Arabidopsis thaliana: one gene and its partners. The protein of the gene in region 1 binds, or shares a complex with, the protein of each later gene. Each region holds a gene or a part of one and is shown on either strand. Other genes may lie near its edges.

The links. Proteins that work in one complex are often made in the same cells at the same time.
Region 2: AT1G61790 (region 1) and AT5G02502 share a complex: the UniProt entries of both Arabidopsis thaliana proteins name them as parts of the oligosaccharyltransferase (OST) complex.
Region 3: AT1G61790 (region 1) and AT3G12587 share a complex: the UniProt entries of both Arabidopsis thaliana proteins name them as parts of the oligosaccharyltransferase (OST) complex.

The regions. Positions count from the first base shown.
Region 1 is NC_003070.9:22,811,121-22,818,973, forward strand, and holds AT1G61790 (Oligosaccharyltransferase complex/magnesium transporter family protein), read left to right. Parts: upstream 1-3,246; 5' UTR 3,247-3,269; coding exon 3,270-4,310; 3' UTR 4,311-4,343; exon of another isoform or gene 4,344-5,037; intron 5,038-5,431; 3' UTR 5,432-5,568; downstream 5,569-7,853. Other genes in the region: AT1G61770 (Chaperone DnaJ-domain superfamily protein), read left to right, coding at 66-146, 494-606, 698-815, 916-1,042, 1,147-1,250; AT1G61780 (postsynaptic protein-like protein), read right to left, coding at 1,702-1,766, 1,878-1,975, 2,489-2,606, 2,881-2,896. UniProt on the Arabidopsis thaliana protein: Subunit of the oligosaccharyl transferase (OST) complex that catalyzes the initial transfer of a defined glycan (Glc(3)Man(9)GlcNAc(2) in eukaryotes) from the lipid carrier dolichol-pyrophosphate to an asparagine residue within an Asn-X-Ser/Thr consensus motif in nascent polypeptide chains, the first step in protein N-glycosylation.
Region 2 is NC_003076.8:557,745-562,766, forward strand, and holds AT5G02502 (Oligosaccaryltransferase), read right to left. Parts: upstream 1,492-5,022; 5' UTR 1,398-1,491; intron 968-1,397; coding exon 860-967; 3' UTR 541-859; downstream 1-540. Other genes in the region: AT5G02510 (UDP-glucose 6-dehydrogenase), read left to right, coding at 1,698-1,904, 2,376-2,663, 2,747-2,923, 3,027-3,116; AT5G02520 (dentin sialophosphoprotein-like protein), read left to right, coding at 3,581-3,634, 3,725-3,813, 3,898-4,042, 4,157-4,274, 4,366-5,022. UniProt on the Arabidopsis thaliana protein: Subunit of the oligosaccharyl transferase (OST) complex that catalyzes the initial transfer of a defined glycan (Glc(3)Man(9)GlcNAc(2) in eukaryotes) from the lipid carrier dolichol-pyrophosphate to an asparagine residue within an Asn-X-Ser/Thr consensus motif in nascent polypeptide chains, the first step in protein N-glycosylation.
Region 3 is NC_003074.8:3,993,800-3,999,198, reverse strand, and holds AT3G12587 (Oligosaccaryltransferase), read left to right. Parts: upstream 1-3,527; 5' UTR 3,528-3,761; intron 3,762-4,029; exon of another isoform or gene 4,030-4,102; intron 4,103-4,499; coding exon 4,500-4,613; 3' UTR 4,614-4,859; downstream 4,860-5,399. Other genes in the region: AT3G12590 (uncharacterized protein), read left to right, coding at 193-390, 506-781, 901-1,518, 1,716-2,176, 2,274-2,334, 2,445-2,513, 2,652-2,726. UniProt on the Arabidopsis thaliana protein: Subunit of the oligosaccharyl transferase (OST) complex that catalyzes the initial transfer of a defined glycan (Glc(3)Man(9)GlcNAc(2) in eukaryotes) from the lipid carrier dolichol-pyrophosphate to an asparagine residue within an Asn-X-Ser/Thr consensus motif in nascent polypeptide chains, the first step in protein N-glycosylation.

The DNA.
Region 1 (7,853 bases):
ACTTTTCTTTCGGAAAACCATTGGCTTTTTTAACTGATGTTACGACTGCCTAATGTGTGTTCTAGGATCCCCGTGCTGTTCTTGTTGGTCTATTGGTGGTTTTATCTGCATTTCAATATCTGAACAACGTGGCAAGGTATAATGAGGTACGTATTAGAGATCGGGATTCTCTCACTATGTGTTAATAGTCTCAAGTAGTTGTTCTGTATCGTTTTTCTGATGCATGCCAGACCTATATTGTTATATATTTAAGCATCAGTACTACTCATCTATATATCACATGTATGTGCAATACCTAATCACATGTATGTGCAATACCTAATCACATGTATCATAGCATCTCAAGAAACGTAGAATTTGACCTCTTGAATGTGATTCATATACTTTGTTATGAGAACTTTATGTAGCTTAAACTCTTAAAGCCTATAATTAGAAATTATACAAACCTCGGCTCATTTTCTTAATGAGATCTTGCATTATTGTTGTGATGCAGGCTATAGCGACGGTTAAGCGAACACCTGCTTACAAAAATAAGCTCAAGGCATTAGAACTCGAACGCACAGGTGGAGTAAGTAACAAGAAGAAGGGTTCAAAGCAGATTGACCAGTATGTACCCCCAGTTATTTAAATTGCCTTTTTATTAGCTGAGAATGTGTCGTATCGCTGAATAAATCATAATCATTTATTGTTTTGGCAGGAAACTACAGGAAGAGCTAAGCAACGAACTTGACTTACAAATCAAAGGAGCTGAAAAACCATCGGTCTGGGAACTTCTCGGTGTTCGATTCATTCTCCTACCATACACTATCATTAAGGTTTCATTTTCTTAAAATACTTTCACTGTGCCACATTTCACAGATTCCTCCATATCCTACTTTCCCGAGATAGCTGATTCAACATTCTGTTATCTTCCAGCTTCTAGTATGGTACAGCAGTTGGGTGTGGAGATATAAGGTCAAGAAAGCTCCTTATTCATGGGAAGACGCATCATACCTAACCCGAAGATCACTTAGTGTGCCTGCCGACGCATGGGCTAATCTAGGTATCCTTCTATTCTCTAATTTCCAACCTGAACCGACATATTGATAAAGATTGATGTCTAATACAATGTGATTAAATCTATTGTGCAAATTCGATATTTTTCAGATGAATATAGGAAGGAAGATCTGGTGCAGAAAAGGCTGTGGGAGAAGCAGAATCTTGAGAATTACTTTGCAGAAATGCGTAAAGAATCGAAGCGGAGAAGATAGGTCACTTGTCGCTTACCATGCAACGATACAAAATACAATTCGAGTTTCAGAGACACCATTTTTACCATTATCACTCTACTTTAATGTTATAAGAACGAACCAGTTACAAGAAGAGACACTAGTATAATTGTACGGTACCAGGAACCAAATCTCAATTTGTCATATACAAGATGAAATCATGTCTGTCAATGGACATGGTCCAGTTTTGACTCAGTTTTGTTTAAAACCAATTTGCTCCGTGGAATGTTCAAATCTATCTTTGATACTTGAATTCGAGTTCTAAAACGAAACATTAACTTTATGATCAGTCAAGAAACACAGTGAAGCAACAAGATTCTGTTTGGTTATATTAAAACCGGAGGAAACCGATACAAAAAAATACATGAGTGAGAGGATACAACGTTGACATCAAAGGGACAAAAACTAAAATGTGAAACGCTTGCGGATTTGTTTATACATTGCTTTGCTTGTACATCTTGGTGTCCAACACTTGCTTCCCGCACATTGCGCACACTCCTGCACAACCACGAAGAGGCAATTCCATCAGTTGTTAAGTTACTCTATAATATCACTATCCAACCAGAGGTAAGAATTTAGTAGAGTAAAACAGATGTATTAACTATTTACCTTTGCTATAGGCACATGTGTGACAGTATTTACCATCTTGATGCACTTGCTGCTTGCAGATCATACATTTTGTGGTACAGGTACTGTAAGGTGACCATCTACAAGGCAAAGAAATATCACAATAGAAAATTAGAAGCAGAACAAGAGTAAACAAAACTAATAACTCAACTCAAAAAAGACAACACAAACATTCACAGTTACAAATATCGCTAGTTCCATGAGAAGTTGTACATTTACTAATGATTCTTATTAAAACCTAGAGGACTAGCGAAGCGGTGGAGTTCTACACCCTAGATGGCAAGAGTCCAGTAGCCTAATCAACTCAACAGATAATACAAACATCCCAAACTTAAAAAATTTATCGCTATTTCCATGAGAAATTCTATAATTACTAATGATTTTTAGAAGAACCTGGAGGGATCAACTCAAAAAAGACACTACACGAAACTACAATACCAATATTTCTTAGAAGAAACTACAGGAAACAAAACCAATACCAAACTAGACGATACAAACATCCCCAAAGCTACAAATTAATCACTATTTCCATATTGCAATTCAAATAATGAAAAGTAGTAAAATGAAGATGGATAAACATAAGAAATGCATACCTATTCTTCTTGGAGAGAAGCTTATTCTCATTGATTTTACGACCACCACCTTCAGTTACATTACGAGCACCATCCTTCCACTTATCAGGAACTATCACTTTCGATAACTTCTTCTCACCTAAAATTAAAAGATAAAAACAAATTGAGTCAAAAGGTTCATACTTTGAACTAAATTAGAGATCCTACAACTAGGGTTTCGATCTAAGAAACCAAAATCGAATCAGAGATCATTAAATTTCTTCCTGAAACATGTAATCGATTAAGCTAGAAACGAAACGAATCACAAATCCTAACGCCAATAGTATAGATTCAATTAGAATTAAAACCGATCCAAGTATAGATTGATTCAATTAGAATATGGAATTCAAAGAGAAGATTATTGATGGACTTACACTTATCGCAAACCATCTTCTTCTTCCGAGAGAGAAATATGAAGAAACCCTAACGCCTAAATCAATTCGAATGGGTTAGAGTTACGACGAAAACTTATCGGTGTTGAAATTTTTATCTATGTTTAAATATATTTTTTTTCCTTTTCTGGATTTGGAAAGTCGGATATGTCTCGTCAAAACTCATAGCCTCACAGGTATTTTATGCCACGAATCGTAATAATCCACGTGGTACATCAACCAATAAAAACGTTCCACGTGGTACAACCAGCGAGATACCAAGAACTTCGAGACCTTCTTCTCCAGATAGAGGCTTTCCGGTAAACGGCAAATACCCTTTTCCTTCACTTTCTTCGTCTTCTCGAATCTGAGAGAACGAGAGATCAACAACAATGGCGCTCAAATCAAAACTCGTCTCTCTTCTCTTCCTCATAGCAACACTATCATCCACATTCGCAGCTTCGTTTTCCGATTCGGATTCCGATTCAGATCTTCTCAACGAACTTGTATCTCTCAGATCAACAAGCGAATCAGGCGTAATCCATCTCGATGACCATGGAATCTCAAAATTCCTAACCTCCGCTTCCACGCCTCGTCCTTACTCGTTACTCGTCTTCTTCGACGCTACTCAACTCCACAGCAAAAACGAGCTTCGTCTTCAAGAGCTCCGTCGCGAATTCGGCATCGTCTCCGCTTCATTCCTCGCTAACAACAATGGATCTGAAGGAACTAAGCTTTTCTTCTGTGAGATCGAGTTTTCGAAGTCTCAATCTTCGTTCCAGCTCTTTGGCGTTAACGCTTTACCTCACATTCGTCTTGTAAGTCCTTCGATATCGAATCTACGTGATGAATCTGGTCAAATGGATCAATCGGATTACTCTAGATTAGCTGAATCAATGGCTGAGTTTGTTGAGCAACGAACTAAACTCAAGGTCGGTCCTATTCAACGTCCACCGCTACTTTCGAAACCACAGATCGGTATTATCGTTGCGTTGATCGTTATCGCTACTCCGTTTATCATCAAAAGAGTTTTGAAAGGAGAAACTATTCTTCATGATACTAGACTTTGGTTATCTGGTGCTATCTTCATTTACTTCTTTAGTGTTGCTGGTACAATGCACAACATTATCAGGAAAATGCCGATGTTTCTTCAAGATCGTAACGATCCGAATAAGCTTGTGTTTTTCTACCAAGGATCTGGAATGCAGCTTGGAGCTGAAGGATTTGCTGTTGGATTCTTGTATACTGTTGTTGGATTGCTTTTGGCGTTTGTTACCAATGTGCTTGTTCGAGTGAAGAATATTACTGCACAAAGGTTGATTATGCTTTTGGCTTTGTTCATATCGTTCTGGGCTGTGAAGAAAGTTGTTTACTTGGATAACTGGAAGACTGGATATGGAATTCATCCGTATTGGCCATCGAGTTGGCGTTGATTACATCACACTTGAGGATCTCTGTTTCACAAGGTAATGGCTTTAGTTTTGGAAAAACAGTTATGGGAATTGAGTAATGATGTTTCTGGATGTTTTGTGTTTCGATTTGAAATACTTTTGAATCGGTGTAGTACTACTATTTCAGATGGTTTAAAACTCCTTACTGTTACATTAGTCCATTGTTAAGTTATTTATCTGAATGAGTAACTTATATAACCAAGAATATGGGATCTTTAGTCGATTGAATATAGGAACCATATTTGGAAATTCAGGTACTGTTTCTTGAGATCAGTCTAGGATTGTTGTTATTTGGTACATTGACACTTTTAGAGTTTCTATGTGTCTTCAGCCTTGCGCCCCTTGCTTACTGCATCTATTCAGAAAAAGGGACTTTGTGATTGAGGATAGTGTTTCTGTTTAAGCATTATGGGACCTTATGTTTTGTCGTTGACTGTGTCCTCTTCTCGTTTTGCTCTCTGTTTTAGAATGAGTCTAAGTAAAATTTAGGTTCAAGTATAAATTTGTGATAGAGATGGAGTTTCGGATTAGGTTTAGCCATTCGACATGACATAGGCTTGCGCAGGTGGGAACCAAGTCTCTTCTTGATAGGCTTTTCATTTGTGTACACACATTTTGTGAGATCATTTCAACTTGAAAATTGCAAAGCATGCCTCTCTGATACATCAGTATGACTTTGATTGTTTGTTTGCGTTTATTGTGCAATTAATTTTTTTTTCATCAAATGAATTTACAATCTTCAGCAGTTAAAACAGATTATACTTGTTTATGGTAAAAAAAAAAAAATGTCACACTCACACGCAAAATTGAAAAAGTTTCAGATTTCACTCGAGAAAGTGAAGTAACCTATGATTTGTCTTTTGTCGAATCAAATGGTTGATGGAAATTTTCTTTCGTCTTTGAATTTAGTTGGACAATCTCGACTTAGTTAGCTCATTCGATCCATTTCTAGCCCACACAGAAAAAATGAGCTTAATCCATATGAGTGTTTCACTTTTTCTAATAAGTTTTTGGGGGCTTCTCGACTTGGGCCTTGAGTTTTATTTGTACGTTGTGTATGGGTCTAAGTCTTGCTAATCCACGTTTCTTACATATTTCTTTAGGTCTCTCATTTGACAATTTCGGGTCAGATTGATCTTCGTTTGAGTTGGACTGGCGCATGTTCGGGTTTCGACATATTGCTATGTTTAATGGATTTACGACTCTAATTTTAATTAACCACTAGTAAATTTGGTATGTATGCTTCTTATTATTAGAGCAGCCCAATCATTATCATAAAAATAGTCCATTAGCCCATGTGTTTAAGGTTTCTTTCAAGATAGATTCAGAGATAAATTTGTGTAATGAGAAGAAGAGAAGTAACTTTAGAATTGCTGATGGTACAACTCTCTTCTCCATCTTTATATGAAATTAATCTAATAAGATTTCATTAGTGCTCTTGGCGAACATTTAAATATACTCTGGACTAACAAAACAAAATCACTAGTCTACCATAATTTAGGTTTGCAAATTTTTAAAGAATACTCATTTAGTAAAATTTAGGTAAATAAATATTTAAAAACTAAATTCATTTTCGACGAGGATATTGAACTAACCCAAAGGCACGAGGTGTCTTGAAAGTGACTAAGCACAAATTTTCAACCTATATAAAAAAAAAACACAGCCTGTCTCACACAGTCACATTGTATGTTATTACAATTTAAGACAATGACGATTGCATATACATAAAAATTATTTATACACACATATATCTTGAAAACGTGAAGGCCACAACTCAAATATCTCAATATGTATAGCTTTCAAAATCTAAATAGAAAAGAGCAAGGCTAATCATTTGATTTGACAGCAATATAAGTTTTTGTTGCGTCTTGTATGGATTATGAATATATTATTAGTCACTAATTAGCTATGGTTAATATAACAATAAATGACAACTTTATTGATTATTATTGATAAACAAAGCAAAGTCTTTTGTTAACTAGCATAAAAGAAAAGATGTTTAGAGGCATGTATTTGAAAACTGTGAATAATAAAAATTCATATGATTTGGAATTTATGTTTTCTAATGATCGGATAGCTTTATCCGTGAACTTCCCATTTTCTTGTCTGTTTTAGATTTGTGGATCTTATTTTCTTCAAATGGTAGCAAATCATTTGAAAAAGCCCCACAATATTTTGTTGCATTAAAAGAAAAAATTGTCTTCAGTTATACGATATTAGTTATATCCTGATCTTTGTATGATCATCTATTACGCAGTTACTATAGATTTAGTGCAGACTTTCAAAACTATAATTGTGCTTTGAAAATATGAGTATGTAAAATCAGTTATTTTAGTTTTTTCACGTCACCTTTTCAGATTACTATAGTTTTTCAAGTTGTTGGACCAAATCTTATGATTGCGTTGCATATATACTTCCATATTGGTTAGTTAGTGAACGAAAAAAATAATTAAACACAAGAAAACTATACCATAGTTGAACCAATTTTTAAAAATAAAAAGACCTTTGGACTAGTATGTAGTTAACCACTATGGTGGTTAATTTCCTTGAACGTCTAAGATTCGATCCTATCTTTGCTTCACGGGACTATACCATATTAAGGTATAAACCCTATTTTTAAACTTTGTCAACTAGCTATGTGAACCCTCTTGGTGAGCCCAAAATTAGACCACTTTTTAAGAAAAAATTTCAGAGAAATATATGCTTTTGAGTCAAAATATTAGATCCATCTTCATTGTCTATACGATATATTTCTAATTAGCAAAAAAACTTTGTTTATAAAAGAAAACCTAAATGGTAGTCATTTTATTAATATCTTTCCATACATAACCGATAAAAAGAAAAGATTCATTCTAATAAACAAATTAAAAAATTCACACTTTTTAAAATTGACATATTATTAAGAAAAGATAGGTGTCTTGAGGACATATCAAGCGTTTAAATGCTTAATCAAAATCTAAAACGCTTTTAAGACGTTTCAATTTTTATAAGAAATATTATAAAATAATATTAATGAAATATCATGATTTATATATATATATATATTAATTAATTACATATTTAAAGTTGTAAGAAAAACCAATGATTGTATTTTATATTGAAAGAAATTTTGTTTAGCTAAAAGGATAAAAGTTTGCTTCTTTTTTTAGTCTAATAATTTCTTACTTTTTCAACTCCAAATTCTAGTTGTTATACTGTCCAAATCCAGTATTATAATTGACATCAAAACTTTATAGAATTAGGCATACGCAACATTTAGTTGTATATATAAAAGTATGTATTAGAGTAGACGAAGAAAATCCCTAGAATGCTTATTACATGCGATTTCGACAACATATACTGCTAAAATGCCACCAAAATTTTTGTCTATTCTTTAGATATAATTGTTACAATATGATTCATTTAACATTTTGTTGAATTGTGGAGCGAAAATATCTTGGATTCGTTAATCGATCCAATGAGCGTGCTAGATGCGGTTTAACCGAAGCGGTTATGTCGACGATGGACCGGAAAACCTCCTCCCAT
Region 2 (5,022 bases), on another chromosome or scaffold:
GGTCCCAGTAAGTTCTACTTACAAGGAGCTACAACAAATTGGTCATAACCGGAAAGCGTTCAAGGATACTTTTAAGAGGTAATATCTCAACTAACTCTCTAACAAGACTACAAAAGAGAGCTGTAGAACTAACTATCTAGCAAGACTACATATCTATAGAAGAGAAAGACAGGTGAAGACATTAAAGCATGACCATTTAGCAAGGAGACACAGAGGTTTAAGAATGAAACAGCTCTTTGTTCAAATAGTCTAGGGTGGTGCATTAGAAGATTGATGCAATAGACAATAAGTATCACAACAGAGGCAATTCAAACAACCTAAACTTGAGAGTTACCAAAGGATGAATGAGTATGTACTCAACATAATCACAGAAACTCCAGTGAACCAGACTGTATAAAGTTATAAACATAGTAACGGTATCACATATGACATAACATCATGGAAAAAACTTTGGATGCAGATAAAGCTAACGCGAATCAAGTAAACCTGTAGTAAACCATGATTATATGGAGAAATTCATTTTAGCTAACTCTTTTTTCTCAAATACCCGATAACTGTGATAGAAGTAACAGAGCTACAGAGAAGACCTGAAGAACTGGGAAATCCAGGTATACCATATTCGCCCATGTATGCAATATGCTCTAAACAGAAAACTTGCATACTAAAACTTGAATGATTGAAACACTACGAAAAATGAAGTCTTTTAACTCTTAATCCATCCAAAACCACATTGTCAAAATACATTGATTACTCATCTACTGGCGAAACATCACGACCTATAGAATGCTAAAGACATATTGATTCCAACACATTTATAAGTTTTTTTTTTGTAGAAACTAACAAAGATGAAACCTCATTCTCATTCGAATTTAGGCTCTGCCACCACGAAATGGTATGCAATGACCATTATGAAGATGAAAATCCCCAGAAAATTGGCAAAGAAGCCGAGGTCTTGGTCGTCAAACATCTGTAACACCACACACAATTAACAATATGAGAAGCTTGGTATCAGACTTAGACAAAACTTGTTAAAAATCACCCACCAATCTACACTTTCAACATCATTTTCTATGAAGATGGAGCACATAGTCCAACACAATTAGGTTCATACGTCAGGAACAAGTTTCTTTACCAAAATCACTAAAAGAAAATAACTTTGACGAAATCCAGACATGAGTATAACATCAAAAACATGGAATACACAAAAATAAAAATAAAAAATTGATTGAATCTCATAGCAGTAAATAAAGAAAGAGTTGCATCATCATCACATCTATAAGTAATTGATCATATGAAATAGATTCAAGCCTTAAGATCTACAAATTCGCTACCATCTGAGAATGACGTATCCAAGGTAAAGACCGAAAAAAACAAATCAAATCTCTGAGTGTTTTTACCTTTGGAGAGCTCAAAAGATACAGACTTCCTTCTTTGATTCTTCCCTCTATCGACTCTACGAAGCAGATCGAAAAAGAAGAAGAACTGAAGAATGACTCTGGTTAAAGAGGTGGTTGACTCAAAAACAAATCGTTTGGTAATATGGTAAACGACGTCGTTTTACTTCTCAAAAAAGGAAAAAAGAAAGTGTGGCTGCTGGGATTCGAGCCCAGGTCTCCACGGCCACAACGTGGAATTCTTACCACTAAACTACAGCCACTTTGTTGTACAGTCTATAATATTAATAATTATATTACAATATGTTTAATTGCTCGTCGTTGTCTCTTCCTTTCTTCTTCACTGCAATTGCTCGACGTTGTCGCTTCCTTTCTTCTTCATCATCCCCGACGAATAAGAGAACCAAATGGTCAAGCTTTGGATCGCCGATTCGTTCATCTGAAACCGGGTCTGGATCCGATGACCCGGTTGCATCTTTGATCCATGTGTTCCCTACCATGGATCCTGAGGTTCGTTAGATATTGTGTCGTAAAGTTTCCATTTTTGACTGATGAACAATGCTACTACAGTAATTGCTCTTTTCATATACTTTAAGTTCATCAATCTTCCATTTAAAAAGTGCTAAGTTATATTGATGTAGTTCCTTCATGAAATGAACTAGGTAACAGTTTTGTGTAGCTATTGATTGATATGTCTTCATCTACAGATTAACATTGTGATAACCAAAGCCAAAGCCCTGCATTGCAGAGAAACTTTGATGCAACATTAGCCTTTGTTACTTCTGTGTTGTGAAAAACTGAAAATTGGCGACAGTTTTGTGTAGCCATTGATTGCATAGAAACTTGATGCAACATTAGTCTTTGTTACTTTGTGACTTGTGTTATGAAAATTGGTGATCTTGGCTGTTATGTTTTGCTACAAAAGTCTTTGGGAGTTTATTGCTAATGTAGTCTTTGTTTTTTGGTGGGATCTTGAATTAGTTTGTCAGAGAGGTTATGAGCAACAAGAATTACGTGTTTGAAGAGGCAAAAGAGAGTTTAAGCTCAATTTTGTTCAATGGGGATTCTGATAGAACAGAAGCTGGCTTTTTTGATGGATCTGTGGAAAGTTGGAACGATGAGGATATGATCGATGGAGCTAAATGGGTTGATAGACTTGTATCCGAGATGACAAAAGCGATAAACATTGATGACATGAGGCGACGTGTTGCAGTGATCTTAGAAGCTTTAGAGAGTATCATAAAGAAGAACACCAACGCCTCGAAGAAGGTATAAATTGATGACATTGATAATGCTCAGGTTTTCTTGGGCCTAGATAATATAACAAATAGAGAGCTCCCAATTCATTGCAGCTTGAATATGCGTCGATGAAGGAGAGTCTACAGAGTTTGATCAATGATAACCAAATATTGAAGCGGGTCATTGCGAATCAACATCAGCGTAGCTCTGAAAACGAAGAGAAGGCCAAACAAGTACTGCATTTGAGAGGCGTGGTGGGGCAGTACCAAGAACAAGTTCATAAGCTAGAGGTATAACTAACTTGCCTACTAGAAATTCTCGGAATTATCAATCTTATAAATCAGCGGATTACTGATTTTCCCTTCGTTTTCGTTTGTGGATATCATTCATCAGCTTAGCAACTACGCCATGAAACTCCATCTTCAAAGGTCACAACAACAACAGACTTCTTTCTCAGGGAATTTGCCTCCAGACATCTACTAAAACTATATGATTGTTTACTACATAGTCATTTATAGTCATTAGGACCTTAAGAAGTATTATTAGTCAACTGAATTTCAAGTCATGCAAATTTTAATACTAAAGACTTTACTTGTATGGTTTGTTTGCAAATTGTTTTAGGGCAATTCTCATTAATAAAACAAAAATAATTTCTGTTTACAAATTTATAACCGAAGAAACCGCACAAGGATTAAACCAAACCTGTTATTTAAACCGGAGAATGTAGAAAACCAGGAAACGAGAACCAAAATACACAAGCTTTAAACCAAACTGGTTATCTAAACCGGATCAAGTTTTCCCCGCCAAAGCAATTTTCATTCCCATTGTTCCAAACAGTTTAAACCCTAAACTTTTCCCCAATTTTGCTCACTAAATCTCACGAATCTCTCCTCTCGAGAATCTCCTAGGGTTCCGATTATTTCTCAATTAAGATAGTATCCAGCTCGATGACGGAACCAAATCTCGACGAAGATGGTTCCAAGTCGTCTTTCCAGAAAACGGTGAGTGAGCTTCTTACTTCATCTCCTCGTATTTGATTCAATCAGTGTTCTAAATCCGCCTTTTTGTTCATCTGGGTTTTTCGAATAAAGGTGGTGCTGAGAGATTGGTGGTTGATAAAATGCCCAAAGGAATTCGAAGGGAAACAATTTGGTGTTGCTGGATTCGAAGAGTCCGTCGAGTAAGAGTGCTTTGGACTTTTCAGGTTTCTTTTTTTTTTATGAAACGATTTAGTTTTTGAATTCTTCGAATTTTGCCTTAATAGGACAAGAGCAATGCGTGTGTTTACATCTTCACCAATCACCAAAGCTTTGGATGTTTTCACACTCTTAGCATCTGATGGAATCTATATCACTCTCAGAGGTTTTCTTAACAAAGAACGCGTTCTTAAAAATGGATTTAACCCTGAGGTAATCTAAAGATTGCTTAACTTGTTGGAACTTGATCTATCTAAGAACTAAGGAAGAAGAACTGACTTTGATTTGTTCTTTCTCTTTTGTTCTGTGGTCTGGTCTTGGGAATAGATTTCTCGTGAATTCATCTTCGGGTTTCCTCCTTGTTGGGAACGAGTTTGTAACAGTTGCTTTGAAGGAGACTCTTTTGGCACTGATGTTAATACCGTCCCTTCGACTATCGAGAAAGGTTAGGTCTTGAAGCAATGTGTTTGTGTGTGTGTGTTTTTTTCTGATGCATCTATGTTTTATTGATATGTCCTTGTTTTATGATTTCTTAGCAGCTTGTCCTCCCATTTTATCACCTTGTAAGTACTCTAACAGGAATCTTAAGGATAATCCAGCTGAGAGCAGAGAGAAAAGCAATGTGACTGAGACTGATATTGCAGAGATTAATGATAAAGGTGGTTCTGGAGCAAGAGATATAAAAACTGCAAGGAGAAGGTCTCTTCATCTGCAAATAAAAAGGATACTTGAATCGAGTAAAGTCCGGAAGACTGCTAATGATGGAGATCATGGTAGTGAATTTTTGAATACGGCTAAGCGCGGTGATGTAGAAAGAGATGGATGTGAGGTTATCAATAATGAAGACAGTGAATGGAAACTCGATGAAAGTGAAGTCCAGAATCTTTGTAATGATGGAGATAATGGTAGTGAAGGTTTCATTAAGGCTAAGAGCAGTGATGTAGAAAAAGATAAGAGCGAAGCTATCGATAATGATGTGATATCTCCAGCGGTTGGAAGTGGTATTAAGCATACCGGTGCAGATAATGTTGATAAAGTGACAAGTGCAAGTGCTACTGGAGAATCACTTACTTCGGAACAGCAAAATGGTTTACTTGTAACAACAGCATCTCCACATTCCCTGCTTAAAGACTTAGCCAAGAGTAGCAAACCTGAAAAGAAAGGAATATCCAAGAAAAGTGGCAAGATCCTCA
Region 3 (5,399 bases), on another chromosome or scaffold:
GAGGCTGAATATAATCTTTGCCCTCTGCTATGTGGATTATTCCTTCTTTAATTCTCCTCCTATTTTCATTTGGATCTGTCCTTTCTCTTTGTTTTTAGACCTTCGTAACTATGATTTCTGTTTCCAGCTGCATGTTACCATTTCTCAGCCAAGTTGTACTTGCTGATGAGCCAGTTACTTTCCTTGAATCAGGTTATAAAAGCTCTTCTGGGAACTAGCAAAAGGAATTCTTGGTCAGAAGTTGTTCATTCCAAGCTTATTTGTATCATGACGAATATGTTTTATCAATCTCCAGAACCAGAAGGCTCTAACAAAGCAATTTCAAGTGCCTCAAATTTTCTTATCGACCAGGTCGATCTGATTGGTGGTGTAGAATACATTTTCTTTGAGGTACTAAGAAAATATAGTTTATTAGACTGAATGATCTTTCTAAACATTATCCAAATAGACACTTCGATCCCCAATGGTTTTCTAGCATATTAAGGGATTCATTTTATTGGTACAGTACTCTTTGGCAACCACTAGAGAGGAAAGAAGAAATCTCTACTCGGTTTTATTTGACTATGTGCTGCATCAAATTAATGAGGCATGCTCATCTGCTGGTCTTTCTGAGTACACTGATGATGAGATTCAACCTTTGGCTGTTCGGCTTGCTCTTGCTGATGCACCTGAAGCTTTCTACATTTCTGTTAAGCTTGGTGTTGAAGGCATAGGAGAAATCCTGCGAAGATCAATTGCTGCAGCATTGTCTGGGTTCAGCAACAGCGAACGACTTAACCAGGTAGGTTTAAACTTGTAGAATATGTTGCAAATGATCTTCTGAGGATATCTGGAAAAAAAAACTTAAATTGCTTGTCAGTCAAAGCTCTTTTCCAACTCTTTAATTTTTCCTTCTTGCAGCTTTTGGCAAATATAACAGAAAAGTTTGACACAATAATAGGTTCGTTTACTCACCTGGACAAAGAGTTCCTGCATCTCAAACAGATTACCAAATCTTCCAAGTTCATGGAAAGCATTTTAGATTTAAGAAACGATATAAGCATGTCCGTGAATCTAGCTTGGGCTACTTTGCACTCTCTTCTTCATTCAGAAAGGACCACATACCGTCAAAATGGGTATATCTGGTTGGGGGATCTTCTGATTGCAGAAATTAGTGAAGAGAGCGGTGGAAGTATATGGCTGAGCATAAAAGATCTGCAACAAAAGATTGCCCATTGTGGTACCTCAGACTCTCTGGTTACTTCTGATGTACCTATTTCCATACATCTCCTATGTGGACTCTTGAAGTCAAGGAACAGTGTTATCAGATGGGGTTTCCTATTTATTCTGGAGAGGCTACTTATGCGCTCCAAGTTCTTACTAGACGAGAATGAGACCCAACGATCAACTGGTGGAGTTGCTACTCAGGACCATAAAGACAAACGACTAGAGAAAGCAAATGCTGTTATAGACATAATGAGCAGTGCTTTGTCTTTGATGGCACAAATAAATGAAACTGACCGGATTAACATCTTAAAGGTACATTCCTTAGAACCTTTCTGTTTGTCAAATATCCTACCAAAAGCCACTCTAAAGCTTGCTGATATATATAGTAACTGCTGTTCTATATGTCGAATAATTGGCGTAGAAGATAACTCTGTCTATACCTCTTATTGGAATTTTCACCCAGATGAAGTTAAATTTCACTTGTGTCTTTCTCTGTTGTTTCCAAGCAGATGTGTGACATTCTTTTCTCGCAATTGTGCTTGAAAGTTTTGTCTACTGACGAGGATGCAGTCCCCAATTCTGCGGATAGGAATAGCAAATTTGATACTTCTCATCGTAACAGCTATAAAGAAAGTGTGGATGAAGGTGACACCAAGCCTCGGTACAATAACGTCTCTGTTTCAACGTGTGAGACAGCGTCAATGGCAGCGATGCTTCTTCGTGGACAGGCCATTGTTCCTATGCAGCTGGTTGCGCGTGTGCCAGCAGCTTTGTTTTATTGGCCACTGATTCAACTAGCAGGTGCAGCAACTGACAACATTGCACTTGGTGTCGCCGTTGGAAGCAAAGGTAGAGGAAATATTCCAGGGGCAACCTCTGATATTCGAGCCACCCTGCTATTACTTCTGATTGGTAAATGCACCGCCGATACAGTTGCTTTTCAAGAAGTTGGCGGAGAGGAGTTCTTTAGGTAATTGATTGACTTTTCCATGCTTCCAAACCATAGATGATTTATGATTTATCTGTGCAACATGTTTCATGGCATTAACCTATGTTTATCTATGCAGGGAACTCCTGGATGATACTGATTCAAGGGTGGCTTATTACTCTTCAGCATTTCTTCTGAAGGCAAGAGGATTTTTCAAATTCACCATTTTGATTTTGGAAAGACATCATTGAAAGAATAATAAGTTTCCAAATATTTTTTGGCTCACCGGTTAAAATTTGGATTATTTCAGAGGATGATGACGGAGGAACCAGAGAAATACCAAAACATGCTTCAGAAGCTTGTCTTTAAGGCTCAGCAGGTATTGCTATCGTCATAATTCAGGGTGTAGATGCGTAGAACCGGAAATATCAAAGAGAACCTCAAAATCAAAGAGCTTTCTTTGTTTTGTTTCATGTATAATAATGATCCACATTGATTGTATTCTTGTTTTGTGCAGAGCAATAATGAGAAACTGCTAGAGAATCCATATCTGCAGATGTGTGGTATACTTCAGCTATCAAACGAGCTCTGAACTCGCGGCTCTCATAAGCCTCCAGTTTCTTATATATGGCTTATGTAAGTTCATCAGTTTCAGAGAATCTTAGAGAGTTACTTTAGCACCACCCTAATTATCCGCTTCCTGCCGTGAAAAGAGATGGAAGAGAATTTAGTGAAAGAAAATGACAATTCATAGAATACTGGACTCGTAGCTGAAAGTAGCAAGCAGGGGAGTCGGCAAGTCAAAATTCAGATATGGCTACGTGTGTGACATCACTTTGGCTATCTTGCACTCTTGTGATATTAAATCCTTCCTGAATTTTGGTTGAGATCTGAAGGTTCTGAAGAAAGGTGTTGATAGTAAAGAGTTGCCGAAGGGATCAACAGAAATGTGAAATAACTCGGTCCCGCCTTCTCCTTTTTCTGCGGGAATGGTGCGGCTTTAAGGAACTTACAGAAACAGTGGGTTGGTTTCTGATAATTGCCGGCATGTCATTTTTTGGGCTAACAAACTGAAGCTTTTTTTTCTCTTAGCTGTGTGTGTAAAACAAATCATGAACCTAGGCTGCAGCTCTAGAAATTTTATTTTTCTTGGAGCTCTGCTTTTGTACAGTCAGGAACAAAACCAATTAGGAGGATTGTGTTGTGTAGAGAACTAGAGATAGAGGCTTTGGGCCTTTTGGGTGTCGAATGTTTTGCTTTTAAAATGGTTATGTGATTAGTGTGACTGAACCTAACCGGTGCGTTTGTAATATAAATTCTTGTCATTATTTTGGCTGCCACTATCTGATCTGAGAAGCCACAAGGAGTTGAAGTTTACAGTTGTTAAAATCAATTTGACAAACAAAAAATCAAGAGAGAAACATACAATTACCAATTTGATCCACAGATAAATCAATTGTTAAAAAGTAATTAAATACTACTATTGGGCCAGGCCTGCAAAATAAAGACCCTCAGACATCGAAACCCTGAGAGTGAGATCCAATACTTGTTCTGTTCTGCAAATCGCTTCTGGTCCCTGGAGTCTGGAGATCTCATCCTTTCCCACCGATTCCGTCCCGATAAAACGGTAAATCTCGCTCAATTTTAAAACTATGTATATATATGCATTTCTTCTTGAGTGATCTTCTGATTCGACGACAAGTGTGTTTGATTTATGATCTGGTTAGTCTTAGACTCTTAGCTGTTCTTCTCGCGATAGAGATTGTCTCTGTGGCGGCCATCTGTGTGTGATGGTCCTTTGAATCCGTCTCTGTCGACGAGAACTGCCAAATTCTCTTGTCGGATTGTGTCACGTTTTAGGTTTTTACATAAATTCTCAACTTGTTCTCCAATGTGATCCCATAGCGGAGTGGATATCGCGTTAGACTCCGAATCTAAAGGTCGTGGGTTCGATTCCCACTGGGATCATCCCATTTTTTTGGTCTTTTTTTTTGTTGGTTATTAATTATTACTATCAATCCGTTCTTTTAGCAGTGATCAAGCGAATTTAGGTCTGGCTCTGCCTCTGGCTCTAGTTGAGTTTAGGGAGCTGCTCCTTGTTGTTTGCCATTATGGTTTCTCTACTTTGGAGTCAACTTTGCAATGTTACCCTTGTAGTCTCTTCTGTGGACTTTGTATTTGGTGAAATTGAAAAGTTTAGTAGAAATCTGGCTGCGCCAAAGATGATAGAGACTCTAATGGGATCCTTATTCGAACATTTTGCTGAACTGATTAGATACAATAAGGCAACACTGATTCCATTACTGTTAGTCTGTTACTACAAAAAGAATTGTTGCTCAAGTATTGTTTGTGTTGGTTGGTGCAGATGATCGATGATCAGGACTTGGGGTTTATTGCCAACTTTCTTGGCATCTTCATCTTCGCATTGGTAATTGCTTATCACTACGTAACTGCTGATCCCAAATACGAAGCCACTTGAGTGATGATATTTTAGAATGATGTAAGGCTTTTTAGTTTATACTAGTATTATCTGTGTTTCAAACTGAGAAGAGATAATAACAGTCTTTGTTGAGATGATAATGTTTTCAAGATGTTCCTAATCCATTTCACATCTTCTCAATTTTATATGCATGTGCATATATATGTTCCCTCCAATTATGTTGTTCGAATGTTTGATGAAACTTTGAATTTTTTTCTTTAAGCAAAAAAAAATCTCAAACACCAAAGCGAGGAGTCATTCTAGTTCAGTTTTGAGTCATTCTAGTTATTTTTACAAAGTTTTGAGTCAAATTGGGTAAATTTTTTGGTTATTTTGGTCATAAAAATAACTAGATTATCTCTTATATCTTATGAGTTAATTTGGTAAATAAACCATTTATTTGGGTCAAACTATTTTTTTCCCCATATATATATCCAATCAATAATAAATTCATAATATATTTCATTAACGCGATTGAAATACTAGTAATTAATTGAGGACTAAAGAAAAAGTAATTTCCTTTTTATCTTTAAAATGTGCAAAAAAAACAAAAATGTTAATTGGGTGATGAAATAACTTGTTTTCAAAACGGGAGTTACTATTTGACAATTTAAAAAAGACCCATCTCGAAGGAGCTAGAAGCGATAACAAAATAAAAAGGAAACAATAGTAATTAGATGGCGCAAAAATAAGATCCAACGGCTGAGATCTTTACTCGTGAACGTTCTCGAAAGCTCTTTGCCGACCCACTCTTCATTCATATATAAACAAACACCTCTCTGCCTT